2 linked regions of the Tamandua tetradactyla genome follow. The protein of the gene in region 1 purifies or fractionates together with the protein of each later gene. This does not show direct contact. Links are inferred from orthologs where the notes say so. Each region holds a gene or a part of one and is shown in the gene's direction. Other genes may lie near its edges.

Region 1 (15,672 bases):
TGGCTTGAGGGGAAGCCGCCTGCCCGCCCCCTTCGCCTTCCCTTCTCTCCCCCTCCCCGCTCCCCCCCCGACCGCGGAGCAGCACCATGTCGGCGCCGGCGGCGAAAGTCAGTAAAAAGGAGCTCAACTCCAACCACGACGGGGCCGACGAGACCTCAGGTGAGGAGGAGGCGAGGCCGGGGGCCGGCCCGCGCCGCCATCTTCGCCGCCCTCCCCGGCCCGCAGGCCGCCGGCGGAGCCCGGGACGCGCGCGGGGGGCGCTGGGCGGAGGGGGGCGGCGGGCGGGTCGGGAGCGGAGCCGCCGCAGGCCTCGGCGCCCTTTTTTGTGCGCGGCGGGGCCGGGGGCCTGGGTGGCGCCGCCGCGGCGGCGGCGGACTGCGATGCGAGGCGGGGGCGCTGCGGGCCTGCGAGGCGCGGGCGGAGGAGACCCCCCTTCCTCTCCCCCCTCCCTCGCTCTCCTCCCCCTCCCTCCCTCCCGAGAAGCCTCTCTTTATTGTGCTCCGCCATGATGCCTCGCTCCCATCAGCCGCCGCCGCCACCACATGGTGCGGCCGGACGTGGCCCCGCGCGCAGGCCTCCCGCGCGGCTCCCCCTTTCTGCCCGCCTCGCGGGCGGCGCCCCCGGCACCCCCAACCGGAGGCTGGCTCCAGCGCGGCCTTCTGTCGCGAGGTTGGGCGGGGAGAGAATGCGGGGAACCACGCGGCCGGCCGTGCACTGGGCCTGGTCCGGCTACGAGGATGCTCCGGTCTGCCCCGGGCACACTCTCCACGTGGGGTGGCCACCCCGACGCGGCGGCGGGCGGAGAAATCTGCCGGGAGCGGCCAGAGTATCGGAGGGTCTTTAAAATGACTATTAGAAAACATTCTAGCCATTTCCGTAGAGGCTTTCTCTGCAGGGCAGGGGGGTGGCTTGCAAATCCGAGGATGGTTACCGGAAATGAACCACCGGATCAAGCCCCTTCACGCCCACTTAGCTTTGTAGGATTTGCGGTACTTACAGGACAAAAAGGACACCTTTCCCTAACACAGTTTCTATTCTTGCCCTCCTTTCCTGTGCTTAATAGTTTTCTGACTTTCTAGTTGCTCCCTGTGTGCTCCGAAACCGTGAGGTGCCGCATCTGAAGCAAGTAGTCCGTGCGAAATTGGGTTGGGGGGAGGTGAGAAAGGTCACATTCAAGTCCTGGGGTTCAACTTACTGTAAGAATTTAGAGTGTTTAGGATGGTGTAGTAGTTCCGCGTGGCTTCTTCTCTTTGTAGGTGTGTCTGATGTCTTAATGCAATAGATGCTGAGACAGAATCTTCAGCTTTGTAGAAAAAGTACTTCTGTCCATGGTGTGCTGATAGTCTCATGAATGGGTTTCCTTTTTCTAGTCAGCAGCTGGTATTCTATAGCAAGTATTTAATGTAGTAATCATAAATCCTGAATGAGTTTTTTTTTTCATCTTTCATAATAGAAGTTAAATAATTGGCTCTTCCCCCCCAGTAATCGAACTCTTAAAAGTGCTACAGTCAAAAACATTTTCTAAGTATCATAGCTAAATAGCATGATTTGCAAATGGCTCTTTAATTAAAAATTTGTCAACTGAATGAACACGTGGAAAGCATGCCTTATAGTAAACAGTTTCTTGCTTTTTATTAAACCGTTTTATTGCGATGTAGGTCAATACCATAGACAGCGTTTCTCAACATCGGGGAAAACTAGTATTTTCTTCTAATTAGTATTGAGTTTTATGCAACTTTTTCTTGCAGAAAAAGAACAGCAGGAAGCAATTGAACATATTGATGAAGTACAAAATGAAATAGACAGGTAAAGTTTATAATTTTTTTTGGAGATATTTTCTAGATGTATTTAATGGTCTGATAATCGTTAAAAATATAGTCAATTAAATTTGTATCCTTTAGGTAGAGAGACCAGTATAACTTGATTAGAAATGGTTTGAAAATTCATTGTTATTTTTCTGTCATGTATTTGTATGGTTACAAAAAAATATTTCATGAAAGTACATTGACTTTGCTAAGATGAGGGTTCCTTTCAAAGGCTACAAATTGCCTGAATTGCAATTTGTGGACTTCTGACTGTTCAGCATTATGGCATCAGTGTTTCTCTGGCTTGCTTTATAACTTTGTTACTTGATTATTAGCTTTGAGGAAAAAGTCCTGCCTAACGGAAACAATTGAAGTTGGCCTGGTAATAGAGTAGATGGAAGTAAATATACAATGTTACCAGTGTGCTCAGTTTGAGTAATTTTAAGAACTGTTTTATTGAGTGCTTATTGTAAAGCAAGTTGAACTTTTTTAATTGCCATCTTAATATTGGCTTGAGTTTACATCTGTAAAAAACTAGATTTGGTTATTATGAAATAGGTAGTTATAAAAAAGCTAATGAGAATATTCATTCTATAGCCTCATAAAGTTTAGTAGTCATTGTCAACATATCTTTTCATTTGCTCCAGACTTAATGAACAAGCCAGTGAGGAGATTTTGAAAGTAGAACAGAAATACAATAAACTCCGCCAACCATTCTTTCAGAAGAGGTCAGAATTGATCGCCAAAATCCCCAATTTTTGGGTAACAACATTTGTCAACCATCCACAAGGTATGTTTTTCCCTCCAGCTAGTGGAAGGGTATTGCTAAAAGAAGATGCTGACATGTTAATGAGTAAAGGGACCTCATGGTAGATTGCATATAGAAGATGAAACACTCGAAAGCGAAGACTTGAAGTAAATGCCTTTTATCTACTTAAACTGTAATTTAATTTGGAACTGTTTGATTACTTGATAAGATGGTGACAGCTTTGGTACTTTTAAAAACCACTTGATTTTCTTCGGTTAGTAATGGAGCTATGAAACCAAAGATGCTCACTAAGTTATTGTTATTAGTGTTTGCTTGTTTAAACTTTACTTGACCTGTAATTTGTTGGTCTAGTGTCTGCATTGCTTGGGGAGGAAGATGAAGAGGCACTGCATTATTTGACAAGAGTTGAAGTGACAGAGTTTGAAGATATTAAATCAGGTTACAGAATAGATTTTGTAAGTATCAGTAATTCATATTGTTTGCCACTATGGAAATTAATCTCAGCTTTGGTTCGAAGTGGGGTTTTTTTTGTTTTTTATTGATTTCTAATCCTCTGATTATTCTAGTATTTTGATGAAAATCCTTACTTCGAAAATAAAGTTCTCTCCAAAGAATTTCATCTGAATGAGAGTGGTGATCCATCCTCAAAGTCAACTGAAATCAAATGGAAATCTGGAAAGGTATGCTTTGAGGGATTAGGCAAGAATATTTTGTGTATTTTAGTTTAGTTGAATTTACCAATTCTTGCTGCTTTGTTAATATGCTAAATACAAAAACAGTAAATACGAGAACTGCTAGTGTGATAAAGCATCGAAGTCTTGTGAAAATTATAATGGAAGTTTGAGAGTCAGACAGACTTTGGAGTTTCCATATTGGTAATTGAACTCTTCAAATGGTTTGCCCTTTTTCCAAAATCCGTTAATGCTCACCTTAAAGTTATATTTATTAATTATAATACTGTGTATTGGTACTTGGTGAAAGTGGAACTAATCTTATGAAAAATTTAGTTGTAACTTTATCTTTAGGAAAAGTTTGTCATAAAACTTAAGAGAACACACTCTTGTGGACCTAGGATTTTAGAGTTTGCTCTTTATCTCCTGTCAATTCTATAACATCTCTTAGACAGTAATAGTGTTGACAGTATACTGATGTTTATTTTTCATTCTGCATTTAGGGAAAATTTACTTTTTTAAATTACAGGAAATTTATTGTTATAGAGAGCCTATGTCAAAAGGTCTTTCCATCTTCATTTAGGATTTGACGAAACGTTCAAGTCAAACACAGAATAAAGCCAGCAGGAAGAGGCAGCATGAAGAACCAGAGAGCTTTTTTACCTGGTTTACTGACCATTCTGATGCAGGTGCAGATGAGTTAGGAGAAGTCATCAAAGATGATATTTGGCCAAATCCATTACAATACTATTTGGTGAGTGGTGAATGCTTTTGCATTTAATGTTGCACTTGTCTCATTTGATTAAAAATAAGTGCTTAAGATAACTTTTTTTTTAAGGTTCCTGATATGGATGATGAAGAAGGGGAAGGAGAAGAAGATGATGATGATGATGAAGAAGAAGAAGGATTGGAAGATATTGATGAAGAAGGGGATGAGGATGAAGGGGAAGAAGATGAAGATGATGATGAGGGAGAGGAAGGAGAGGTAAAAGAAAAATTGGCTAAATCTTAAAAGAGTAGAATCTTTATACCCTTTCAGAATTGAACTACTACTTAAAGAATTCACCATTTTACTTTTATTGTGTAATGAAACTAACCCGGAACTGATTGTGTGGGTAATACAAGCCATTTTCTGTCTTAAGAATCAATAAAATTTTGATAATCTCATTGTTTCTATAATTTGACTAGTACTGCTTTTGAATTAATTGAAGCCTGTCTTTCTCTAACCCATACTTAATGAAAGTGATGGACAGGGCAGCTGGTTAAAGTCCTAAGAAATCTCCCAAATAACAGAAGTCTGCAAACTACAGGATTCTTAAGTAGTCAAATTGGAATAGATGAGTTTTCATTTTGGTTTGAATTGTATGGAATATGTCCAATGATGTCGTTAGTGCTGAAAAGCTACTAATTTATCTGAAACACTGTCACTGGGCCTTTTCAATGTAGATTGGAAACAGATTGATATACAGGTTCAGAAATTGGGTGCCCTGCAGTATGTTTTCTTTATGTCCTATAGAATCCATCATGGTCTATAGAGCATATGAAAACTAGTGAGTAACCCTAGGTAGGATTAACCCTGAAGATTTAACCGCCCACTTTTTTCTTACAGGAGGATGAAGGAGAAGATGACTAATAGAACACTGATGGATTCCAACCTTCCCTTTTTAATTTTCTCCAGTCCCTGGGAGCAAGTTGCAGTCTTTTTTTTTTTTTTTTTTTTTTTTTTTTCCCTCTTGTGCTCAGTCGCCCTGTTTTTGAGGTCTCTTTTCTCTCCTTTACACCATGGTTCACAACTTATTTTGGGGGAAATACCTTGCGCAGAATACAGTGGGAAAAGAATCTCTACCTGTTTCTGTTTCAAATTCATTTTTATCCCTTCCTGTCTCAACAAAAAACTTTATGGAATCAACACACCACCGTGCTCTGTGGGAAAAAAGAAAAACCTTCTGCTCCCTTCGCTCTGCTAGAAGCTGGAGGGTGCTAGGCCCCTGTGTAGTAGTGCATAGAATTCTAGCTTTTTTCCTCCTTTCTCTGTATATTGGGCTCAGAGATTACACTGTGTCTCTATGTGAATATGGACAGTTAGCATTTACCAACATGTATCTGTCTACTTTCTCTTGTTTAAAAAAAGAAAAAAAAAACCTTAAAAAAATGGGGTTATAGAAGGTCAGCAAAGGGTGGGTTTGAGATGTTTGGGTGGGTTAAGTGGGCATTTTGACAACATGGCTTCTCCTTTGGCATGTTTAATTGTGATGTTTACCGGACATCCTTGCAGTTTAAGATGACACTTTTAAAATAAAATTCTCTCCTAATGATGACTTGAGCCCTGCCACTCAATGGGAGAATCAGCAGAACCTGTAGGATCTTATTTGGAATTGACATTCTCTATTGTAATTTTGTTCCTGTTTATTTTTAAATTTTCTTTTTGTTTCACTGGAAAGGAAAGATGATGCTCAGTTTTAAACGTTAAAAGTGTACAAGTTGCTTTGTTACAATAAAACTAAATGTGTACACAAAGGATTTGATGCTTTTCTCTCAGAACAGATATAACTTTAAAATGTTCCAAGTTTGACTTGTTTAACACAGCCTTGTCAAACTTTGTCACCCTAACCGAATTTTTTGATATGCACTTTGCAGGATGACCTCAGGGCTATGTGGATTGAGTAAAGGGATTTGAGTCAATGTATTAATGTCTCTAAAGCTGGGAAACATTGTGGGTACAATTTGCCATCAGTTTCTGAATATTGACATCATTGGTGGAAATCAGATTGCCCAGAATTCAGTTGAGTGTTTGTACCCTTTTTAAAATTTCTAGTTTTTTGTTTTTTTTTTTTAACTGGGTTCTTGTTTACCTGAATATAACAATGAAAATAGTGCCTGCCACCACCATCAGCCAGACCATGTGCTCTGAAGCCAATTTACATGTGGGGCAGTTGCTGGCATGTCTTCACTGGCACTAGAATGTGGCCAAGAAGATGGGCTCTCTCTGTAGGAAGTCTGTTGGTGAGAAACTCAGGTTTGGATTACTTTTTGTCTCAAGTACCAGCTATCTAACAAAGCTATCTCAAATGAGACCCATTTGTAAATCTAGGTGATATGAACTCTGCTTGGTCTACTAAATGCCACTGTGCATATGACATTTTGAGAAGCTACCTAATGCATAAGCTATTAATGGTGTAAAATCATTGCCACTTAAGTTTTCAGAAAAGAATGGCCAGGCTGGTCAAATTCAAAGCTTTTGATGTATAAAACTTTATAAATGGAACTATTCCATCAAGAGGCAAAGTGTATCAAAACTTGTTTAGATGGATATAGTATGTAACTTTTCTGCACAGGTCTCTGTTTAGTAAATACATCACTGTAAATCAGTCAGGAATCTTGCTCCAATAAAGGAACCTAAAGATTTTTTTTTTGACTGGGGTCATTCTCCTTGTTTTGTAGAGAAACGTTACTTGCTTTTGGGTTTAGATGGTAAGCTATATTTTAATTTTTTGGCTTGTTTACATTAGTGACTGGGGAGTTGGAGGGAAATTGCTTTGTGGGGTGGTGGGCAAACTGTCCTTTATTTAGTATCAGTTAAATGTAGCATAGCTCTAAATGAAAAGGCTTGAGTTGGTCTATTATAAGTTATGCGTAAATTACTGACTTAAATCTTGAAGTATAGTTAATCGTTCCTGAGGGGATTCTGTATTTAGATGTAGAAGACTTTCACTGGGAAAAACGGAACAGATTAAATATCCATTAGGTAATGCTCATAGTGTTTTGCAAAGACAGTTTGCCATAAATGTATGTTATGGCAAATTGTAGGGCTGTTAGGTTAAACATTTTCATTGAGATGTGGAGCTACTTATGGTAGTGTGTCTCCCAGCTATTGAAATAGCTGTAGAATCCCTTGTGTCTATAAATCTTGTAAAAGAATGCTAGACTGCTACACTCCAAAGTTAACAACCTTAGTTTCCTAAAAAGTTGCTACAGAAGAACTGTTTTCTACCGAAATACAAGGGTAGTTCTCTGTCCGCCTTTAATCAGATGTGTATTGAAAAGAGTTGATAATGGCTCAATGTGCATGTACCTGATAGTTTGACAATAGGAAGCACATACTCCTGAAGCTATCACTCCATTTATGAGGGGAATTTAATAACTTCATGATTTGGGACAGTAACTTATAATGTGTTCTTACATTCAAACCTTAAGGAACAATCTGTTGCAGACCATCCCTGCAGTTGAGGTTATTTGATTTCTCATTTAATGGACTCCTATTTCCATAGCAGGTTAATACTCAGGTGTTGATATCCAATTCTGGCTCTAAAATTTAGAATTCAAATGACCCATAGGGTTCCTGGTTATCTTGTTTGGTCAACAGATTTGCTTTACATCTGGCCAGCTTGCTTCACTTGTGTTAGCTGCTTGGTTTCTAAAATGGATGACTTTTTAACTCTTGCATGGATTTGGGGGACCCTTTGGACTTCAGGATTTCTGAATAATTGTTTTTTAATTCATTCATAAATCATTACTGCTTTATAACAAAAAACAGTTTCATGGTCTCAGCTGTTTCCATTAATAGGTTTCATATGCCTTTTTTTTTTTGGTCTAGATTTGGATAGGAATCCTGGCTGCTGGAAAATGGAATTCTGTTGCAAAGAATGAAGACTGAGGATTTTCTGAAGACTGAGACAAGTTCTTTAGATGAGGGACTAGCCACTCCAATTGTTTAAGGGGGGCAGCAGTTTTGCATTTTGAAAAGTTTGTCCTCCGCACACCTTTAGCATCCATTCCCTTTTGAACATGTATCTGTGTTTATGAAAGGTTGCAAGTTAAATTTTTAACAAGTCTGAGGGAAAGGACTGATTTTGTGATGAGAACGATAGTGAGGACTTGGAAAGTGGAGTAGGGGTGTGCCAACTTGATGGTAACGTTCCAATACTGAGCAAACCAACAAAATGTATATGGAAAGGGGGAAAGTTTGATTATGTAGCCTGCTAGGAAGTTTTAGGTTCTTTGACAGCTGGAGAGGTTGCACTATTCACTGTCCACAGGATGTCTTCCTAAGAATTGCAATCCCATAAGTTGCCATCACCATCAAACATAAAATGCACATAAATGAACTTAGCTGCTCAAACTTCCATCAGCCCAAGACTTAAGTTCCTTGTAGTTTTCGTAATAGAGGCCGTGAAAGCTTTGCTTTTTGCCCAGCTTTTGTGTATTAGAAAAGAGGTGCATGAGTTAATTCCAATCTACTTTCCTTCAAGTGTGATGTGTGAGGCAGTGGCACACTTCATGGCAAACCCAAAGCTATCTTATTCCTCCATATAATTCAGCTCCCAGGCTCAGGGAGTAGGTAAATAAATGATCCTCAAGATGGGAAACACCCTCCTGTGGAGAATTACTTATATCGGGTAACCCTATTTGGCTTCCAGAAGTGACGTCACCCATCAAATATATATATATATATATTTTTATGGGCAGGCACTAGGAATTGAACCCGTGTCTCCAGCATGGCAGGCGAGAACCTTGCCTGCTAAACCAAAAGAATCTATGTGCTCTATGTACTGCAGTGTTTGTCTTAGTTCTGCCTAAAGTGCTACAACTGATTTGTGGAAACAGTTTGCCTCTAATTACAGAGTCTGGACGGGCATGTCCTGCTAAAGCAAGTTGCCTCTGCATATGTTGATGACACTTTGATTTCCCATTGCAGGATAACCCAGGATTGTTCATGGCTTACAAATTTCTTTTCCAATCCATTGCGAGGAAGGTGGTCAGAGCAAAATGGAATAGACGTGGTTTCCTTCAGTGAAAGCATTAAGCAAATAAGCCACCCTTGATCCTTCCTCACTTGAGATGTTAAATTTCTTTTTTGTTCCTTGTATGAGGCTCCTGGTGAAGACCTGGCAGAAAGTGCTCGCTCGTAAGCACACTATGCCCAGCAGTGGTGAAAAAACAGACTAGGCAATACAAAGAACCGGGATCCCCCCCGTCCCTCGACAGGCAAACCAGTGCCAGCTCAAATCGTGCAGGCTTGTTATCACTGTACTGAGAATGCATCTCACAAGATGTGAATACTTCTGTTTAGTTGGGTTTTGTGGTGCAAAAGTGGAACAGTGGCTCTGTAATTTATAACTTGGGTGTGGTTTTACTATTTTCCACAGATGCATTCTTATAGTGATTAATACCGCCTAGGGAGGGCCAATCACATCGTGGGGGCGACAGGATTGGGATTAACCCGTTTTACACCGCAATAACCAAGACCCAGAGACGGAGGGACTTGACCGAGGAGACCTAGCGCGTTAGTGGCCGAAGCTAGGTCCTGGCAGAGCAGGGAGGAAGAGGGGTGGGCCCTCCGCACCGGCTGCGACCCCGACGTGGCGATTTAGCGCCCCGCCCCGCGGTCGCAGCTGGTGCTATGTCCACCCAGGCCTGCCTCTGCGTTCGGTGGGGCAACGCTACAGACTTCTGCTCCTCCATCTTGCGCTTGTTGGGGTGAGTGTCAGCGGAAACTGGGCTCAGAGGAGAGGGTCCTGGGTCTCAGGTCCGGCGGAATTTCGAAGCCGGGCGAGGCACTAGGGCCTCGGAATTCAGAAGTGGAATTGGGGGCGCACCTTGGCGCAGCCGAGAGGCGGCGCTAATCCCAAGGTCCCGGAAGGGCCAGCGAGTCTCGGGAGGGGGCGCCCGATCCCGCCTCTTGGGCGCCGCTTCCCGGGAAGTTTCAAGTTTGAAAGTCCTGGCGGAGGGGCCAGGGCTTCCGGAACTGAAGTGGTCGAGAGGAGGGGCCCGAACGGCCTGAGCTGCGCCATGGAGGAAGGGGCGCCGCAGCAGGTGAACGGCGCCGGGAGAGACCGGGCTGCGGCCGGGGGCTGAGGGGGTGCGATGAAAGCCTCCCTCATACCGCGGGCACCCCAGGCTTCGGCCGCATCTCCAAGCCCTGCCCCCTAAAGTCGCTACCCTGACTCCGCCTTGCGTCTCTCCCAGCCCTTGCCTGGGATCCCCGCTACACCTTCGCAGGGGAGAACTGAGTACTGGGGTTAGGTCGTTCCTGCCTCTTGGAAATTGTCACACATGAGCCCTCCGGGTGATTCAGAACCTCTAGTCGGATCAGCTTAGGAGCTTGTCTGAATCCGCAGTCAGGACCCCCAGGGTGGGCTCCAAAATTTCCTAAAACCTGTTCTCCAGGCAAGAATGTAAGGCCGATGGGAATTAGCCAGGAAAGCAAAGAGGTACCTGGTGGGAGAAGGCCGTGTGAGCACAGGGAGGGGGGCCTACCTGTGCACTTCTGGGGTCCTTCGCAGAACACACAAGGCGTGTGGGGTGTGTGTACGCGTGAGGAGGCACCAGTTGCAAATGTGGAGGGATGCGGGGTTCCTGGGCAGAGCTGGCAATCAGTGCGCTTTGGCACGGAGGCCAAGGCAGTGTGTGTGTCTGTTTTTAGGGATGGAGAGGTGTCCTAGCCCAGAACAAATAAGAGGGGACAAATGTGTACAAGATAGGTTTCCAACTCAGAGCAGAAAGGAGGTGTGTGAATATATGGAGAGATTCCAGTCCAGAGCAGACAGGACGGTGGGGTTTGGTTTCAGCTTCAGCATGGGATATTGTAGAGATTCCAAATGCTCAGGGAGCCCTCAGGCCTGCAGTCCACCCTCTTCCACCCTCTTCCTCCAGAGGTCCGTCTGCCTGTCCCAGCGGTGACTTGTACACATTTTCCGATTTCCTGTGAACCTCCGCCCAACAGCGGCAGGGTGACTCAGGACCCCGGTGGCCGGGCCCCCAGCTCCATGGGATCTTTGTTTGCTCAGGCCTTTGGCTCTGGCCGTCTCTCCTAGGGCGGTCAAAGGATTTCCTGAGCCTCGCCCCTGCCCTCTGAGAGCCAGGCCCAGCTGGCCAGCAGAGGCCTGGGTTGAGAGTCCCTGAGGCTGGGGTGGTCACCCCTTCCACTGGGCTCAGGAGATGGAGAGCCAAGAGGTAAGGTGAGGGGCCTGGGGGCCCTGTAAAAGTCCACGGGAAGGCATCGTGGGCTACTCTGAGCTGAGGAAAGCTTTGGCACTGATTAGTTTGAAATGGCTCCTGGGACGTAGGTTTTCCTTTTCCTTGTTCCAGCCTGGGGTAAAGTAGTAAGAGAGACTCATACTTCCTCCCAGGAGGAAGCAAGCCTTGGCCTCCTACTCAGGCCTCCAGCTGCCCTCTCCATGGGTAAATCCCTTCTCAGTGCTGAGCTTTTCCCATCTACTCCCTGCCCAGATTTAGAAAACAGCTTGATTAAGGTGCTTGGCAGGCAGAGACTAGGACCCAAGAGATGGTGACCTCTTTTTCTATATGGCCGTGGGTAACATCGGGCAAGTTACTTAAATCTTGCTTTGTCTCAGTTTCTTCATCTATAAAATTGGGATAATAACTGCACCTACCTAGTGGGGTTGCTGTAAAGATTAAATAAGCTAATATATGTAAAGCTTGTAGAACAGAACCTGGCATCCAGTAAGCATCAAAGCATTAGCAGTTTTTTTTTTTTTCACCCTTCTCTTTTTCTGAATGGCAGAGAAAGGAGCATGGGCTGGATAAGTAGCCTTTGGAATTCCATCTGGCATAGGGATATTGAGCTCAAAGGTCAGAGAAACTTCCCAAACCCTGTGTCTGTCCTGGCTGCCGACTACTTCTCTCTCTCCCTGGTGCCCCCTGGGAGGGGCTGTATGGCCTGACTTCTTTCTGTCCTTCTGCAGCCTGGAGTGGGCCAGCGGCCCCCAGAGGATGAGAAGGAACTGATCCGCCGGGCCATCCAGAAGGAGCTGAAGATCAAGGAAGGTGTGGAAAACCTGCGTCGTGTGGCCACAGACCGTCGCCACCTGGGGCATGTGCAGCAGCTGCTGCGATCCTCTAACCGCCGTCTGGAGCAGCTGCATGGGGAGCTGCAGGAGCTGCACGCCCGCATCCAGCTGCCCAGCCTGGCTGGTGAGTAGGGGGTCTGAGCAGATCCCCTCAAGAGGTGGGACCAGGCTGACCTGGCTCCTAGGCCTTGTCCTTGACCACTGTGTGGCCCCAGACAGGCTGTCTCACCTCTCTGAGCCTCCTCAGGATATCCCCTGCTGCTGCCCATTTGGAGGGGAGATGAGGAGATTGCTAGGCTACAGTGGGGGTGAGGGAATGGAATCTTGCCTCTAGAGGGAGGGCTCGTGTGCCTCACATTCTCTGTGCATAGAATCTGCAGCCTCAGAACCCCGGCCATGGGCAGAGCAGCCAAAGGCTCGGCACCTGGAGGCTCTACAGAGGCAGCTGCAGGTGGAGCTGAAGGTGAAGCAGGGGGCTGAAAATATGACCCACACATACGCCAGTGGCACTCCTAAGGTAAGGTCCTTGGAGTACGATAGGGAGGCAAAGCCCCAGCCTCCAATCTAATGGGGGAGGCATGGCTCCCAATTATTAGGGGAGGTAACCCCTATTCTGGAAATGCAACCCAGCCTTTGACCTTATAGGGGAGACACAATCCCAAGTCTGATGGGGGAGACAGAGCCCCAACTCTAACCCCTAGTCTAACACAGAAGGCACTATACCAATCTAATGGGAATCCCAGGCCAAGTAGAGAAGGTCCAGCCCTAGTCCTGCCTCCCAGCCTGAGGTAGAGAGCTTGGCCCCAGAACACATCATACAGGGGAGGCTTACCCCAGCCCCGATACTGTGAAGAAGCTTAGTACCAACCTTGACCTGATGGGGAGGGTCTGACTCCAGCCCTTTTCTGATGGGGAGGCTTGACCTCTCCCAGCCCTGGTCTGGTCTGAAGGAGGAGGCTCTGGCTCAGCCCTGGTCTGATGGGGCATATGCCGTGGCCCCGCAGGAGAGGAAGCTCCTGGCAGCTGTCCAGCAGATGCTGCGGGACAGCCAGCTGAAGGTGGCTCTGCTGCGGATGAAAATCAGCAGCCTGGAATCCAGTGGATCCCCTGAGCCAGGTGAGGCCTTGAGCAGTGGGAAAGGACGGGCAGGACAGAGAAGACTGGGTGTGGGCCTCTGGGCCGGGAGGGAATTACCTGACCCTTCCGTCCTCCGCAGGCCCTGAGCTGCTGGCAGAAGAGCTGCGGCATCGACTGCGAATTGAGGCTGCTGTGGCCGAGGGTGCTAAAAATGTGGTGAAGCTGCTTGGCAGCCGGCGAACACAGGACCGCAAGGCACTGGCTGAGGTCAGACCATGACCTTTTCCTCTTCCTGCTTCCTTCTGAGGGTCTGCTTGTCCCCATACCACCCTCTGCAGTGGTGGGAGGCACCTCTGGATGGCTTTGCTGGAGTAGAAAGGAGGAAGCAGGGAGGGGTCTCAAGGTGGCCTGGACTGCTGTGTCCCCCTCCCTGATGCCCCATGGGTTTGTGCCTGCCTGTATCCCCTCCTGCAGGCTCAGGCCCAGCTCCAGGAGTCCTCCCAGAAACTGGACCTCCTGCGGCTGGCCTTGGAGCAGCTGCTGGAGAGACTGCCTCCTGCCCACCCACTACGTGGCAGGGTGGCCCGGGAGCTGCGGACTGCTGTGCCTGGGAACCTCCAGCCTTCAGGGATACTCGTGAAGCCCACCGCCATGACAGGTAGCCAGGATTCCCACCCTTTCCCCACCTTCAGAGCTCTTCCTCCCTTGTGGAGGAGGACCCTAAAGCGTGGTGGGGAGGAATTTTGTAGTCCAATCCTGGCAGCTGACATCTCCTCCCTGGACATCACTTTATAGGGTTGCTATGTAGATTCAGTGAATTGTTGGAAGTGCAGTATAGTGCCTGGCCCTTGGTCAATGCAGCTGTTATTTGCATTGGTAACTATGATAATGGTTAAAGCACCAGTGTTGGTGAGCTTACAACTCTGGGACTCTGGTTCCCAGTCCCAGGCCTGGGCAGCTCAGAATAGTAGAAAGTTATTTCTTATAGAACTGAGCTGTCTCCTTGAAGCAGCAGCTCAATTGCAATCAATACATAATCCAAGAGCACTGGCTTTGTGCTGGGCCCTGAGTTTTCCCACTGGGATACAGTAGGAAATAGAGAGCCCAGCCCCTGCTGGCATGGAGTACTGGCCAGTTCTGGAGAGTGTGCAGGGGACGACATTTCATGGTAAGCAGTGCTGAGAAGGGAAAGTACCAGGGCTGGATAGGACGGTTCACTTGGCCTTGGGGAATCAGGGAATGCTTCCTGGAGGAGGTGGTGTCTGAGTCTGGCCTTGAAGGACATACAGGAGTTGTTCAGGTAGACAAGTTGGGGAAGGCAGAGGGGGGACAGCATGTTAAAAGGCTGGAATTCAACTATTTGGGGTCATCTCATATCCTGTCTGCTGGCTAAACATGCCAGCTCCTCCTATCATTTGTACTAAGTTAATCTTCCCACCCTGGGCATCTGCCTTTGTTTATAAAGTCTCTGTAATTTCCGGGCCTGGACTCCCTAAATTGTGTACTTGGGCCCAATTTTTATCCTCAAAAGCTGCTTGATTCCTACTGCCCCCTCTACCCTTTGAGAGACAAAACTCTAGTGACTCTAAAAATAAATCCTCTTGGTTGACAAAATACATTTTGCACCCATTGTGGGAGGTGGGGTGGGGCTGGGAGTCATCGCCACTGTATAGATGGGGAAACTGAGGTCCAGGAAAGGAGTGGGACAGGAAGCCAGGCCTCCTGTTACCTGACCCAAGTTCTTGTCTCTGCTCTAATGCTTTCTAGGCCCCAGTCCTTGGGCATCTTTTCATGTACTGTGGCTTTGTGTGGCCTGGACTTGGGCCTGAGCCTCTGGCTCCTTTGCCTGCCTGTATGTCCCTGCAGTGTTATGGGAAATGCTCAGAAGGGGTGCTAGTTGTTCTGCTCCAAGGATGACATATAGCTGCCAGGGCCTAAGGGGGTTGGGGTCTGAGTTCAGCCACCTTCAGGAGAGGATGGCATTCCTGGGGTCCCCAGGGGCCCATTGGTGAGAGGATGGCACCTGACAACGCACCTACCCTGTGCATCTTCACAGGGACGCTGCAGGTCCGTCTCCTGGGCTGTGAGCAACTCCTGACCGCCGTGCCTGGACGTTCTCCAGCGGCCGCCCTGGCTGGGAGCCCCTCGGAAGGCTGGCTTTGGGCCAGAGCCAAGCAGCGTGGTGGGGGTGAGCTGGCCAGTGAGTAGGGGCTGTCAGGAGCTGTCGGGGGAAACAACGGATCCCCTGCTCATAGCCTGCCCTGAGCTCCAACTCCGGCCCTGCAGGCGAGGTGCTGGCTGTGCTGAAGGTGGACAACCGTGCTGTGGGCCAGACAAGCTGGGGGCCAGTGGCCAGGCAGTCCTGGGACCAGAATTTTGTCATCCCCCTGGAGCGGGTAAATCTGGCCTTGTGCAGTTAAGGGTAACCTTGGCCATGGGGTGGAGGCTGACCAGGTTGGGGATGGTGCTCTGGGTCCCGCCCCCATACCCCAACCTGGCCTTCTCCACTGTAGGCCCGTGAGCTGGAGATCGGGGTGCGT
Region 2 (16,046 bases), on another chromosome or scaffold:
TTGTGCAATGCTTTCCTTCAGGGTTTATCCATACAATAAGTTTGGAGAATAGCCCCAGGCCAACAGGTAGGGGCCTCCTTGCTCCTTTCTGCATGTGCCTCCTGTCTTGGGCATAGATGTGTAGCCTTTGGAATTTCCCTATTTACATGGATATGAATATCCCCTCTTCCCTAGGAAGCAGTTCCTCATGGTCCCAAGCACTGCAGTGTATGTCCTACCACCACCAGTCCTGGCCCCAGGCAGCACAAGTTGACAGTTCTCCCTCAGTGAGAGCTCTGTAAACTGCTTCTTCTACTTGCAGCACAAGTTCTGGGACAGCATGTCCCTCAGACAATCACTGCACTTGACAGATTGGACTAGAGGGACACGTTCCCAGTGTGTGGATGAGGCAGGTATGGGTCTAGGGACCCACACTGGGAGCATGGGGTGGCTCTCCACCAAGCCGGAGAGGGGCAGGGGATGGACAGGCTCGGACGTCACAAGATCCTACCTCTGTTAAGTGATCTTTTGCTTGATTTGGCACTTTGCCCTGTTCCTGCAATCCTTTAACTGTTTTCTAAAGCTTTTAGAAGGATGTTTCTGCCAGGTCTTGCTGGTTGTTCCTAGCTTCTGAGGGAATGGGGCCCTAAAGTGTCTTAATCTGTATTGAGGGGGGCAGGACCTCCTATTTAATCCTGTGCTCTTCTGTTACATCACCTTATTTCCTTTTCATGCTTCAGAAAGCAGCTTTTCTCAATTGGTTATTTTTGTTCTTTAAACAAATGATCTTGGAAGAAATGTCATCCTTGTCTGGCATTCAGTTTCCTCACCTGAAAACAATGTGATTAACTGGATGTATTCCATAATCTTTTCCAGCTCTAAAGCTCCATGGTTCTGAGATTCCATGAATTGCCCATTCAAAGACAGTTGTTGGTTTTCAGTGAAACTCCTGCTTTTCTCATCTGTTTTTAACCGAAACTGGAGAATTGAAACTCTTAAATCCATTTAGTAGACGCATCTACTATTTTACTTTTATATTCATGGGTATATTATTTGGTCCTCCTCAGTTGCAAAATATTTCCTTACTGTCATTTATAATAACTCTCAGGAACGATAGCCTGAAGAAATAGTTTTGATTTGCTTTTCTTTATTTATAGGTGGGAAACCAGGCTATTCTATTCTCTTAAATTGGCTTTCCTGAGGTCAGTGCTAGAGAAAGGTTTGCGATCTGCAACTGAAATTTCTAATCTTGCTCTGTATTTGTCCACTCATTCTTTCATCTGGTTAGTCCACAGGCTGACTAACCATCTCACGGAAGCCAAATCTGGCCTGCCATCTGCTTTTGTATGCTCATGAACTGACAATGGTAATTACATTTTTAAATGGTTGGGGAAAAAATAAAAAGAATAATATTTTGTGACACATGAAAATTGTATGAAATTTGCATTCTGGTGCCTCTAAAATATTATTGGAACACAGCCACCATGCTCATTTGTTTATGTATTCTTTCTGTCTGGTTTCATGCCATGGTGTCAGAGTTGAGTAGTTGCAACAGAAACTGTATGGTCTGCAAAACCTAAAAGCCCTGTATAGAAAAAATTTGCCAATGTCTGTCCAACATGTATTAATTGTACACCCTTGTTATATACTCAACAGGACACAGGGAATACAGCAATAGATAAGATAAACAGGTTCCTGGGCTCAAGGAGCTGTTTCTATACTTTTAAATAAAAAACCAAACAAACCTGGAGGGACACAGGGCTGTCAAATTTTGATTTTGGTAAATGACATTAAAAAAAAATCAGCTACTATCTTCATTCATCATCATTCTATAAATGAGAAGTATATTAATAATTTAAAAATGAGTATATTAATAACAAAAAATGTAGGAAAGGACGAATCTCAAAGTAAAAAAAAAATTCCCTTTAATGGAATAAATTTAATTTCATGAAAAACTCATTACACTGTCTTTGTTTTTCCAGTTTCACCATGGATTAGAGAAAACTTCCTGTACTGGCCCTGGTCATCAGACCAGCAGTGGGAAGTGTGAGGGTAATTGCTTTTCAGGCAAAACAGCCATTAAAAATATCTACTTTTAAAAATTGGAAAATGTTAGTATTTTAGTGATGGAATGCTTTATTTGAAAGTAAAACAGTCACTAACTAGTTTTATAAGTCAACCTTTTCTATAAATGAGTGCGTGTGATGGAAATATAGTGATGGGAAATCCCAGAAAAGAAATGCAAAGGGAAGTGGGGAAGTACAGAAAAGAAATCTGCTGGCATTCACTCTACCCCAGCAGATGTGACAGTTCTATGCCGTGTTTGGAAGCAAGAGAACCCATTTTAGTACTGCTTATTGGCACTGGCTTCACCCTTGAAGGAAAAGATTACAGAATACTTTCTCTTTTGAATTATTGCCCTCCTCTGTCTACATCCTGCCACCTTTAATAGACGTGGGAACCTACTAAAGCCACAGCATTGCCTCGAAACAACCAGGACCATTTAATGTGAATTCCCATGGAAGAAAAAACCTACCCATCACTAAGGATTTGAAGTTGAATAGTTTTCAGTCACTTTAGAGAGTTTCTTAAATCCACAAAACAAATTATTTACTTTGCAACACCTAAAATGGCAACCAAAAGACTAAAAATTACCTCTTTATGCTGCAGGAATCTGTATATACCTATTCCTGTTGTGCATGATATTGTCCATTTACTTAACATGTTTCATGGAGCACTAACTATGTGGGATGCAAATGTTGGGTGAAAAATAGGATTCTGTGCTCAAAGAAATATAAGAAATATTGAGTTATGCAAAATCACACAGGATTATTTATTGTAGAACTTCTCAGTACTGCTAATATGCTAATGTGCATTTTAAAGCAAACACATGTATTTAAGAAGATCCCAGGCAAGAAAGCAAGGTGCTTAGGATGGCTTTAGTTTAAATTATTTAAGTGAGCTTGTTTATTTGGCTATTAAATCAACAACAACTATAAGAAATAAGCCAACTGTTGTCATTGACCCAGATGATTCTGGGTAGATAGTTTCTTTGATAGTTTCCTGGTTTCATACCAGACTTTGAACAAGTTTATTTATGTTAATAAATTATCCCTTTTCTTAAATACCTTTCCTCGTTTAATACACGTTTTGATAGTTGTAAAGGCAAATATTATCTTTAAATGTTTAGGAAACCATCCTTAAAATTAATGGGTTTTGGGGTGCATGGGTAGTTCAGTGGTAGAGTTCTCACCTGCCATGCGGGAGACCCAGGTTCAATTCCTGGTCCATGCACTTCCCCAAAAACAAACAAACAAGCAAAACAAATAAAAATTCAACAAACGGTGCTGCAATAACAGTATATTCACATAGAAAAATGAAATGTGACCCCGTCATATAGTATACCAAAAAAAAAAATTAATGGCTTTCTAATTTGGAAACTACTTGAGGATGATATATTGATAATAAAATTTAGGAAGAGGTGAAGAGGTGAAACAATAGTTTTTTTTTTATTAGTACATTATTATCCATTAAGGTTCTGTTTATCTATGAGTAATAGAAAACTCCACTCTTGTAGCTTAAATGAGTAGGTTGTGTTTTTCCCTGTCATGTGCTGAGTTGTTGGGAGGTGGGCACTCTGGGACTGCATATTTTGGATGTCACCAAGCCACCTGGCTCCCTCGATCTTCCTATTCAATCATCCTGCATGTGGACTTCAATTTTATGGTTGCAATATAATTGCTGCTCCTCCACCCATCTCATCCACATTCCAGGCAAGAAGAATGGGAGGTGGGCAAAAGGTATGTGCCAGCTGTTTCTTTATCAAGAAAACAAAACCTCTTTCAAAAGCCCACCCAGTAGATTCTAAATAGCCTGAAAAGTGCACATGACCACTGCTAACTGTGTATAAGCCTGAAAAACTGAATTCTTTAGCTGAGTGCATTGAGGCTCTGCTATAAACATAGCATTAAGTTTAAGCTAGACTACTGGTTAGAATCTCAACTCTGCCTCTCAGGTGAGCCATTTCCAACGACGTCATCTGTGAAATGGAGATAAGATAGTAATAGGGTCGTTACAAGGTCAGCTTAGTAAATTTTTTTTTTTTTTTTGGTATGCTGTATGGTGGACATCACAGTTCATTCTTTTTCCACGTGGGTATCCCCTTATTGCAGCGCCATTTGTTGAATTTTTGTTTCGTTCGGTTTTTTGTTTGTTTGTTTGCTTGTTTGTTTGTTTGGGAAGTACATAGGCCAGGAATTGTGAGTAAATGTTTTTAAAGCATTTCGAACAGTACTGGTACATAGTAAATATTATATAAGTATTTTCTCAATAAATAAGTAAGGAGGAGGGGAGAATGGATTTTGGGTAGAAAAGTAGCAGGCATGGATGGAGAGATAGGTAGAATGACACCGCAAATGTGGTAAAATGTTAATATTTGTGGATCTGGGTATGGGGGTCATGGTATGTTTAAGTTCCCTGTATGGGTTTTGCATTATTTTTGCTATCCTGTAAGTTTGACATTATTTCAAAATTTAAAAAGTAGCAGGCATGAAATGAAAATAAACTGTGAAAAAGGGAAGTAACAATATTGCTAACATACAAAACAGAACATGTATGTTACAAGTAATATGAATTTCATTAATTTGTTGAACTAATGAATGTTAAATAAGTACCTTTCATGCTTATTATAAAATGAAGAAGGAATTTATAAAGACAGACTTGTTCTTTCTTCTTTCAAGAAAAGTTAGACTATCATGTCTGCTTCAATTAACTGCTTCTATCCAAGAAAAGTTAGACTATCATGTGGGTTTCAATTAACTGCTTCTATCCAAACGATAGGATCTGGATTTAAAGCCTACACAAATTAAAGATTGGGTAATTATTGATAAATTGATTTGGGATATACCACAAAAGGTCCTGAAGAAAACACATACACTTTAGAATGGGGTATCTCCTTTCTCATTCATGTGTGACCTTATTCCTTTTTAAGGTGATTGGCTATTTATTAATCTTTTAGATATATAAACCATCTTTCATACAGATGCCTTATATGGTGATAATTATTTAAGACATTTGAATTCTAAACCTAGCTCCACCACTAACTATGTGACCTTAGGCACGTTATTTCTCTAAATCTTCATTTCCTTATTTCTAAAATGGGATGGTAACAGTATCTACTTCCCAGGATTGCAGTAGAGCCTAAATGAGGAAATGCAGTAAAGTGCTTAGCAGAGATACTGCTCCACAGCAAGAGCTTAATAAATTTCATCATCATTTACTGTTATAACCACCACCGTCATTATTTTTTTAATCAAGTTTAAGATGCAGTTTATATACAATGAAATGCAACCCCGATGTCAACACCTGGGTAACCATCACCATACTCGAGATGTAGAATTATTCCCATAACCCCCTGTTTGGGTTTGTTAAATCTGCTGGAATGCAATATACCAGAAATGGAATGGCCTTTAAGAAGGGAATGTATTAAGTAACAAGTTTATAGTTCTAAGGCCATAACCATGTCCAAACTAAGGCATCCAGGGAAAGTTACCTTGACTCAAGAAAGGCTGATGGGTGCAGAACACCTCTGTCAGCTGGGAAGACACATGACTAGTGTCTGTTGGTCCATTGGCTTTTGGTTTCAAGCAGCTTCCCGAGGGGTGTTTTCTTTCTGCATCTCCAAACGTCTGTATCTCATACTGGCTCTGTTGGCTCTAAACTCTCTCCAAAAATGTTTCCTCTTTTAAAGATTTCTAGTAAACTAATCAAGACCCATTTGAATGGGCAGAGTCATATCTCCATCTAATCAAAAGGTTATACCCACAGTTGGGCGTGTTGCATCTCCATGGAAACAATCTAATCAAAGGGTCCCACCCTACAATATTGAATCAGGTTTAAAAGAACAAGGCTTTTTTGGGGTATATAACAATTTCAAACCAGCACCCCCTCCCAAATCACTATTTTAAAATAGGAAAACTGCTGTCTTATCCCATAATAATGCAAAGGGGAAGTCACTCTAAAGAAACATATGGTATCAATAACAAAAAGAATGAGTAAGTGCTAACTAGAATTAGAAAACTATGGGATTGTTATAGAAGGAGCATTGATTTTGAGGATGCTGGGTGGCTGGTCAGATGTCCTGCACCTTATAACTTTTGCTGGTTCAACTTTAAAGTCCTCTTTTCCTGCTAACAGGTCCTTGCTTGTCCTTTGGGAGAACAACTCCTTCCTAGTGCTTTGTATGTTTAGGGTGGGCTTATTTCAGCCGTGGCTTTCAGTCTTGTCATTTCTGCTGGAATTCTTGGATAGAAAAGTTCTTGCAGCTGACATCACTGGCTGTAAGCTTGGAGAAGCTGAGGGAGTCACTGAGAAGGAAGCCACACAGAGGAAGTTCAGCTGGAGCGATGGAGAGAGAGAAACCTTGTGAACAAGAGGGTTCGGGCAGGATCCCTGAGGCCATCATGCTGTGAAGAAGCCCAAAGGGGTCCACATGAAGAAGCCCTGAGCTCACAGGGAGAAAGAAAAAGAGACACTGGCTAGTCCCTCCCTGCCTTAGCTCCAGGCACCATGTGGCTGCAATCACATGAGCCATTCCAAGCCAGAACCACCCACCCCAGCCCTCCCCAAATTCCTGACCCACAGTGGTCATGAGAGAAAGTAAAATGATTGCTGTTGTTTTAACCCATTAAGTTTTGGAGTCATTTGTTATGCATCAATAGAGAACTAGGATGCCCGGGATAACAAGGAGCACCTTTAGGTGCTCAAGGTACAGTCATGGACACAATAGATGAGGAACCTATCTTCACGCAGTTTCCATTGCAGATCTTTCTCAGCCTGGCAAGTGAGGAACAACTATTTCAGGATTGTAATTATCTATCAGATGGCTATTTGGGCCTGCAACTAAGCCTGAATTTTTAGCTACATCTAGCAAATAGGTCACGTTCATTGACTCATTTATGCATTTAATCAATCAATTTCTTAACTTATATGGGATGCTTTCTCTGACCCCTTGAGTTAGAACCCTTCACATTCCCAAGCATTCAGCATTCTCTACGCTGGGGGTAGCCCGTGGGAGGTTTTGATAAGGAGTGGCTATGAGGGGGACGGACTGTAGGGGGCGGGAAGGCTGCGGGCAAGCAGAACTGGTAATTTAAATATGCAAGCATTTTCTCCCTGACTGGAAGAAAGAGGGAGTGTCTAGGGACGACGTGGATGCGTGGAGCGCTCGGGGTTCTCCCCGGCCCTGGGGTTGCGTTTTGAGTGCAAACCCGGTTTTCAGCAATGCAGAGTGGGCTGCGGGGAACTGCAGCCCTAATTCCCAGATTTTTCATGCTGGGCACATCCCAGGCTCCTCCGCCCCAGACCAGCAGACAGACCATCTCAGGCTCGGATCCCGGCCACAGCAGGCGGGCAAGGTCCGGAGTGGCGGGGGCTCTAGCACAGCAGCGCGGCTCACCCCCAAAAACTCGGGGTCTGCTCAACCAGGTTGGCGGGAGAGGGCGGAGCTTGTTCTGCGGACCTAGGCGGTGGCGTGGGCCCCACCCCTTGCTTCAGACCCCACCTGCAGGCCTCGCTGATTGGAGAAAACCTGCGGAAGGGATGGGCGTCCCAGAGCGGCCGGGGGGTCGGGCTGAGGCGGGCACGCCGATTGGTTGTGCTGGGATGAGGTCATCGCTAGCAGGTTCGGGCGGTCCGGACGCCGGCGGGGCGGCCGAGGCTGCTGTGAGAGGGCGCTCGAGGCTGCTGGAGAGCGAGCTGAGCAAGGGAGGCGGGGAGGCGGCGGCTGCACTCGCTCGCCCGCCCGCCGGCTCGCTTCCCGGTGCCTTGCGGGTCCGCCGCTGTGATTCCTGCTGAACCCCTCCGAGCAGCCTCGCGCCGCGGGAGCAGCCGCCGGTCTACCGAGGCTAGGCTCGGTTCGGGGGTCGTGCACGCCGGCGGACACCGCGCGGAGGGCGAGCCGGCGCCACACCTGTGGAGCCGGCGGCCGTCTGAGGTGCCGGCCGGGGTCCCGCTGCGTGCGTGTTCGAGGCGGCGGGCAGCCCGGGCCCCGGAGGAGAAGACGCGCCGCTCGGCTGGGCGCTGCGGACACCATGGGGCTCCCTGCGCTCGAGTTCAGCGACTGCTGCCTCGACAGCCCGCACTTCCGAGAGACACTCAAGTCGCACGAAGCGGAGCTGGACAAGACCAACAAATTCATTAAGGAGCTCATCAAGGACGGGAAGTCACTGATCAGCGCGCTCAAGAGTGAGTGCCCCGAGCCCGGCGGGGACGGCTGCCCGGGGGCCGGAGGGGCAGTCGGGAGGCGCTCAGCCCTTGTCGCCCGCGCGCCCTGCGGCGACGCTGAGTGACGGGAGTAGAGGCTTGTGAGGAGACAGGAAGGATACATAAAATGGGCGAGCCGGCAACAATGAGATGAGGAAAGACTGGTCCCGGAGTCGTTTGTATTCTGGGCTGGAGGAGAGGTGACCCGGGCGCGTGTGGCGCTCTCGGGCACCGCGGGTGGGGGTGCGCGGCACACAGGTGTCCCGGGAGTGGGCCGTAGTGCCTGGCGCACCGCAACCTGTTGGCAAACTCTATCGCGTCCGAGACTCTGGCTGCTTTAGGGGAATTGATGATCGTCCCTCGGTACCCATCCTTGGGAATGGGGCGGGCCCTGCCAAAGGGGCGCCGCCTCCCCTCGGGAAAAGGCAGGTGGGGAGTTTCGCGCCGTGTACGCAGCTGCCGCCTGTTCTGGGCCCTGGTTGTCCTCCGACAGGCACAGGCGCTGCCCAGAGAGGAGCGAGGTGGGGTGGTTGGTTAGCCCTCGATTCTTTGGAGTATTGGCAGCCAGTAACCCCCGAATGTAGAATCGGTGCCATGTCCGTGTGCAGAATCTGATTCTTGTGTTTAGCAGAAGGTGATAGGGGTGGGAGCACTGAATCAGAGTGTTCCTTGAAACTATGGGGGAAGGTTTAAAAATAGAATGAACATATTCTGACTTTCTCCTTCACTGGCTTCCCTGTTCTCCTTATTGCCTCTCCCATTAACCTTGAAAACTCAAAGGTTTCTGAAGGGAATATCTTCCTTCCTTACTCAAAGAGAAGTTTAAGTTCATCTTAAAGATTCTCAGACATTTTGTAAAAGGATTTTTGCTTTTTTCCTTTTGGTAGGGGAGAAATGGAACTTGCATCCTGTGTACGGTTTTCCCCTGACTTTTGCAGAAGCTGGACTTTCTTCTTCTGGCCAAATTGAGAGTGATCTAGGGATGAGCGCCTAGGATTGGGAGAATGTTTTTGGTGCTTATTCAGTCTACCAATTTTAAAAATAGTTCAGTTCATATTTTAGTTTTGAGAATCAGGAATAACATGAAGGCAGATAGTGGATTTTTCTTCGACTCTGCCTTTCCTGTCTCTGCGATGGATTCCTTAATAGGTGATATCTTTCAGCTGAGAAAGGTGCATTGGCAGAGTAGGGTCCAAGCTATGAGAATTTTATCTAGGACTTTTAAAAGGAGACTGACAAATCAGATCCCTAAGATGTCATTTTATGAGCGTGATGCTTCTATAAATGAAGAGAGAGAGAGCAGAATCCCAGGGCAGCAAGTGTCAATCTTTGGGGTGAAATGAATGCAGAGCTGTTGGAGGTGATGAGGCATTTTAGAGACAGGGCCTCTGCTGGAGGCTGTGCCTTACCTGAGCATCTGAACAGACTCTTCCTTTGTCAACGACCAGGGAGGACCATGCTTGGCCCCTAGACCAGTTCCTTGGGAACACTGACACCTGTTTTGGAGCCAGTTAGGGGCCCACTTGTATGTTGGGGCCAGGCATTTTGATTGAATCTCTGTGGCTGACTTTAATTGGGTCCTTGCTTCAGCCTACTGTGCCTGCTGTGTGCAGGGTAACGGCACTGGGCACTGGTTCACCTGTGAGTTATCTCATGTAAATTGAGGTTTGGAGGAAGCATTTGCTACAGCTCTGGTGGCAGGGCTTATTTCTGAACAGAAGTTCTGGGCCCTAGATGGAGTTCTTGCAGGGCTCTTAATCTGATCCCATGGACACTCTTGCCCTGAATAGAACACTCTGGACCAGTTTTGCTGGAATGTGGACTTACCTTTCAGTGCCTTGGCTGTGAGTCTGAGGAGGGCACAGTTTGGGTGACTGGTAGTTTTCCTGCTATTTTTTTTTTGAATGAGAATTCTTTGAATAGGAAGAAACATTGAAATGATGGGGTTGGAGGGTTATTTCATTTGTCTAATAGACCAGCCCTGTACTTGGGGGAAAGATTGATTGGACACTAGGCATTCTGGTTGTTCTAAATCCAGCTCTACGAATGTGACCTTGTATAGGTCACGTGATCTGGATCTCTAAGGGCTTCACTTCCCTTATCTTTAAAGATAGGAGTAGAGAGCTGTTTCCCAACTTTTAAGCATTTAGTTTTTAGCTAGAGGCTTACTTCATTGTTTACTACTACATTAGTATTTGCTTATTTTCCTTCTTCAGATCATCTTTATTCATACTGTAAATGGAAAGCCAGTGTTTTTCCAGAACACATTAAACATAGATGCATAATTGTGTACGTAAAGCTTGTTTAGATTATCTGCAGCCTCCTCCAGCTCTAAAATTTTATGGTTTTATTTTATAACTCATGTTTACAGATCTGGGTTTAGTTTCCTTTGTGTGTTAATCAGAGGCAATAAAGCTGACCTCCAGAGATTACCTGGTTCAGCTAGGTCATGTTATTGCTACTTCCACTTTATAAATGAGGAAACATAGGATCTGAAAGACGTCCCTAACCTGCCCAAGGCAATGCAGCAATTAAGTGTATTTAAATACTAGTTGTCTTGTTCCAAACCCTTGTACTTAACCTTAAAGCAACACTGTCCTCTAGGTCAGTGGTTCTTATACATGTTGGCCTCTTGACTCCCTTTGAAAATCTGATAAAAGCTGTGGACTCATTTTACATAAAAATGAATCCCTTGAAGCCTTTCCCTGGAGCTCAGACTTTCTGATGTGAAGATAAGCAATAAATTAATCTGGAACACACATTTCATACAATCCTCTTTTTGGAGAAAGTTCTCATTTGATGTGGGTTAGAGGTTTGGTGACTCTTAATCAGCAGTTTCTGATGCTGTTTTGTCCTAGCCTATTCTTTGGGGGACTCACACTCCCAAGATTCTTTCTTTTGACCTGATTAAAATCTGTCTCAGCCAAGAGGATTCCGTGTGTTTATGTCTGCTTTTCTTTCTGTAGATATGATGGAGACTGGAAATGCAGTTCAGATTTATAGAATTGAGTTTTAGGATTCCCTTTCTCCTTACCCTGAGCTTGTTAGGTCTCCAGACAAGTCCCACACCCCTTGAGGGCAGTAATATAGCCTGGTGTTAACAGAGCAGCCCTGGGTTTGAATTTCATTACTAAACCTGAACTGCTTCTCTGTAAAATGGGAATAGCCACACTGCCCTCAGAGGAGAGTTCTGAGGACTTGATGCAGCAATTCATGTACTGCGAGCACTTAGCTTGGGACCTGGCACATTAGTTCTGTGGGTTAGTGGTAACTGTTATCATCTTCCTTGGAGAAGGGAGCAGCATTCAGAGTGGTCAAGACTCTGTGATTCTCATAGCAAAATTCACTAAAAGCAGAGAGACATTTTTGTTTGTTTGTTTAGGGGTAGGAGGCAGGCCTGTGCCTTCTTCCTGCCAGTTGTTGGTAACTGACTAAGTTGTATGTTTATTATTGGTAACTGACTAAGTTGTATGTTTATTAACTATTCATGGGCAAAATCCTGGTAAGACTGCCTCTAAGCCGTGGTTGTGTCAAAAAAAGCCCTACAAGTTAAAAAGGAAAGAAAAATGAACTTCCTAACATCTCTTCTGTTCCTTCTAACAGTAGCTTAAATTTGCTATCTTTTTCTAGATTAATTCCCCCCACCCCCACCTCTATCCCAGTACCTTGGCTTGCTGGCTCCTTCTGTTTGTCTTGCAAGAAAAGTTCACAGAATGTATTGGAGTTCATATCTGGCTGTCATGGACTCAATGGCAAACCAAATGTGGTTTCATAGAAATGAAATTGCATTAGGTTGTTGCTTTAGAGGGCTGGTGTGGAGTTTTTGGAACCGCGTTTCTTTCCATTTTTGCAGTTGGTTTCTACACTTGTCGCTGGGGTTATGGCCCTTTAAATTTGACTTCAGTTTTCTGAGATGGGGTACCTTTATTCTGATACTCTAAGGTGGGAGAACAGAAATGCAAATTTCTTAATAACAGCCTTTATTGAGATATAATTCACCATATAAAGTATAAAATTCAATGGTTTTTAGTACATTCACAAAGTTGTGTAACCATCACCAGTCAATTTGAGAACATTTTCATCACCTCAGAAAGAAAATTTATATGCTATAAGCAGTCACTCCCATTTCTGCCCAACCAGACCAACCCTAGGAAACTCTAATCTGGCACCATAGATTTTCTTTCTCAATGGATTTGCCTATTTTGGACATCACAAATGCAGTTTTAATTATTTTCTTCTATGTGGTGGTGACCAGCTAGCTGTAGGCACAAAGTTCTTGATTTGAATTTCACGTTGGGAAACTTTGAATTTATAAGCTTTTTGGCTTCAAAACAGGCCTGGGTAGATAGGGCCTGAGGTCTCAAGGTCTGAAATGTGTCCCAGGGCCAGAAGAAAGCAGGTGTGCCTTTCTGTCTGCAACCCGCAAGAGGGGAGTGGATTCGTTCTCGGTCAGGGTACTTTGAAGTATGCAGAAGAGATCACCTAAGTACGAGTGAGAATCCAGCCCCTTCCTTAGTTAGCTTTCATTTATGTTGGGGCAGGATATGTGATACTGAGTAAAAACCTTACTTTGTGGTTATTATACTGCTAGATGGCATCTTTTTACAAAATAAAATGAGTATAGTGAAATTCCTATTTCTGTAATTTAGCCTGTACTTTTCATTGGCCTGTGCTTTTTGAAAATGATGTACCTTTCTCATTACATTCTTGATCATTAGTAATTCTGAGATTTCTGTCCTGCACCGTATCCCTAAGGCAACCATAGTGAGTTTTAACAGAAATAAGTAGACAGTCTTGTAATGATGACAGCAGATCAGGTTTATTGAGCACTTCACCAAGCTCTGGGCTCTATGTTAAGTGATTCATGTATATCGCCTTACTGCTCCTTACCGCCAGTGGGTGAATACTTACTCATCTTTCTCTCCATTTTATAGGTGAGATAACTTGTCTAAGATCACACAGCTAGGAAGTTGTACAACAAAGCTTTGACTGCAGTGGACCACAGGGTGTTTTCTTGAACATTACTTCCATTGCCTTCCATAAAGATGCTGACCATGACAATGGAAATTCTTCACAAATCTAGATCCTAGAAAGAGGAAACATAGGTGCTATATGAAGTGAGAATATTGTCCTAGCTATTTTTCAGACTCTGAGCCCTGGGCAGTGAAGAATAGCTAAGAGTTTGCATTATGCTCTGTTTTTGTGTTTCTAACCCCATCAGGGCCTTAAAGAACCTTTGTCAGTTAGAGAGGCAAATGAGGGGGTATCTCTTGGCCTTGTAAAGCCAATGCTCCAGAGTTTCTCTTTGAGTAGTGCTGAGTGATTATCAGCGATTTGGGGCATTGCCTTTCAACTGAGTAATAAAGTATTGAACAAAGAGGCTAGAAACCTGTTTCTGGATTCTGATGCAGTAAACAGCTCATCCTCTTTGTTCATTAAAATAAGAATAAGAAAATCAACACCAAGGGTTGTATGCTTTGAAGCATGTCACTCTTTTGTGCTTCTTTAGGATTTGGTATGGGCTTTTTGTAATAGCAAGATAAGTCCCTCTTGAATGTCATGAACTCCTCAAGGATGTTCCATGCCAACATGCTTTGTTTAGCAGTTATTATATTACTCATAACGTCCTAATGGGACAAACGGATATTAGGTTAGGTAGCAAAAGAGTTTTTTGCAGTTCCTTTGCTTTGCTTTAGCACCTTGCTAATAAATGAAAAAAGAAGGCACTTCCTAATTATTTGTAAATGGTGTTAATTTGCAGTAGAGACATTTGGAACATTGCATACTCAAATGTAAACAACAACAAATTTAAATCCAAACAAGACTTTGTAGTTTTTATATAACATTGCCTTAAAAAAAAAACCTTCTACTTTACCTCATTCTGTTCTCAATTGGAGTTAATGAATTGTATTTTTACTGAACTTTAATTCCCTCCCCTTCCCACCCCATTTTAAAACCGTAGCCACTGTCGGATCTTCTGTTATGTTCTCTTTTGTCCCAGAGGAAAATTCAGTAGTTTAGTTGGTATAAGTGGTTGATGGGAATTGACTGTGTTAATCAGCAATAACTATCAAGAAAGAATATCTTTCTTCTTTAAACTAGTAAAAAAGATAATTTTCTGTCCCCCTCTTTTTTTTCCCTCAGAAATATCACTAACACTTGGAGTTGACAGATAAATTTATTGTGTGTGTATATGTGTCTCTTTCAAGAACATTATATTTAAGTTTATTCCTGTTAAGGTAGCCATTTGTTTCAGATTAGCATGTTTTGGGAAAGCATGTTTTTAAAAAGCTTTATTAGGTATAATTTCCATAATGTAAAATTAATCTGTTTTAAGTGTACAATTTGAAGACTTTTTAGTTAGATTGCAGAGATTTCATCAGCTAGGTCAAAAAGGTCTTGAATCCCAGAAAGGGCTTTGGATTTCATTCTAAGGGGGATGGACAACCCTTAGAGATCAACAGGGAAGTGATGAATCCTAGCTGTGTTTAAAAAGATCATATTGGCAGCTGTTTGGAGAGTAGATGTAACAAGGCAAGAGTGGTGGCAGGGAGGCCAGCTGGGAAGTTGTTAAAGTAATTGAGGTAAGAGGCACTGGCACCTGGTCCAAGTATCGAAACTGTTGGTCAGATTCTGTGTGTATTTCGAAGTTGGGGCCACAGGATTTGCTGCTGGATTGGATGTGGGGTGGCAGACAAAAGAGTGAAGTCAAAAATGATTCAAAGGTTTTTGGCTTCATCTGCTATGTGGTGCCACTTACTGAGATAGAGAAGACTTGGGGAGGATTAGATTTGGGGGGAAAAATCAAGTTTGCATGAATGACTAATCTTATGGTGCAAAGACAAAAAAATTATGCAAATAGGTCATGAAGACATTCTCATAAAAGAATCAAAAGGTATAGAAGTAGAGTGAAGCACCTCTTCCCTGGAGTTAACCACTGTCAGCAGTTTGGTATGCTTCTTCTTTTCCTACTCCTTTTCTTCTGTGCATGTTTGCTGTTTCATAAATGGGATTATGTTATCTGAATTTTCCTGTGTTTTGCTGCCAGTTAATACTATGTTTTAGAGATCTTCCATGTCAGTACATGTACATAGTGCATTCTTTTGAGTGATTGCAGAGAGTTTTACATAGTTTATTTTCCCAGTCAGCTCTTGAAGGATATGTGTATCATTTCAGTCTTTCACTACTAGAGAAAATGCTGTGTTGATCATCTTGTGTATTCATCTCTGGGTACGTGTACCAGTATTTCCACCTCCAGTTTTTACAAGCTCTTTGACATCCGTTGTTGAGGTCTTTTGCATCCCTGTAGTCAGTTAATATTTGTCCAGTGCTCCACTGGGTTTGGTTATGTCTCTGAGGCTTATCCTTTTGCCCAAGTTAGAAACATCCTGAACAGGCTCTTCTATTAGGCACTGACACTGATCTAAAAGAATCAGGTGGTAGAAAAAAATCTGGTGTGTGTGTGTATATGTATGTGTGAGAGAGAGAGAGCTAGAAAGAGAGAGAAAGAATAATTAATTAGCCTTGGTCCAGTCGGATATCCTTTCTGAGCTTCAGGTTCTTACAGGTAAAATGGGAGATGTGACCATATCTAACAGGCTCTTATTCCAAGCACAAGTTGGAGGGACCAAGAAGGAAATCACATTTGTTAGGGTGAGAACAACAGCATTAGTAGCTAGAGAAATGTTTACAAATTAGGAGTCACTGGGGTTTACACATTTTTGTAGAAACCCAGGGTGGAAAAAGAGAGGAAATAGTAAGGAAAACAGCTTGCAGTGTGGGCCCGAAGCTGTCACAGCGTGTTT

What was found.
Region 2: the proteins of PKN3 (region 1) and ARHGAP26 purify together in Homo sapiens (affinity purification with mass spectrometry; 3 studies listed by BioGRID and IntAct, with this or other methods). This does not show direct contact. The link is inferred for Tamandua tetradactyla from reciprocal best matches to the Homo sapiens genes PKN3 and ARHGAP26.

The regions. Positions count from the first base shown.
Region 1 is NC_135328.1:51,568,716-51,584,387, forward strand, and holds the start of PKN3 (serine/threonine-protein kinase N3), read left to right. Parts: upstream 1-9,885; 5' UTR 9,886-10,034; coding exon 10,035-10,058; intron 10,059-10,265; exon of another isoform or gene 10,266-11,183; coding exon of another isoform or gene 11,184-11,198; intron 11,199-11,950; coding exon 11,951-12,179; intron 12,180-12,426; coding exon 12,427-12,572; intron 12,573-13,059; coding exon 13,060-13,171; intron 13,172-13,271; coding exon 13,272-13,399; intron 13,400-13,606; coding exon 13,607-13,790; intron 13,791-15,188; coding exon 15,189-15,332; intron 15,333-15,418; coding exon 15,419-15,528; intron 15,529-15,645; coding exon 15,646-15,672. Other genes in the region: protein SET, read left to right, coding at 1,749-1,806, 2,453-2,595, 2,926-3,029, 3,141-3,254, 3,829-3,999, 4,084-4,257.
Region 2 is NC_135346.1:22,966,510-22,982,555, forward strand, and holds the start of ARHGAP26 (rho GTPase-activating protein 26), read left to right. Parts: upstream 1-7,993; 5' UTR 7,994-8,069; coding exon 8,070-8,223; intron 8,224-16,046. UniProt on the Homo sapiens protein: GTPase-activating protein for RHOA and CDC42. Facilitates mitochondrial quality control by promoting Parkin-mediated recruitment of autophagosomes to damaged mitochondria.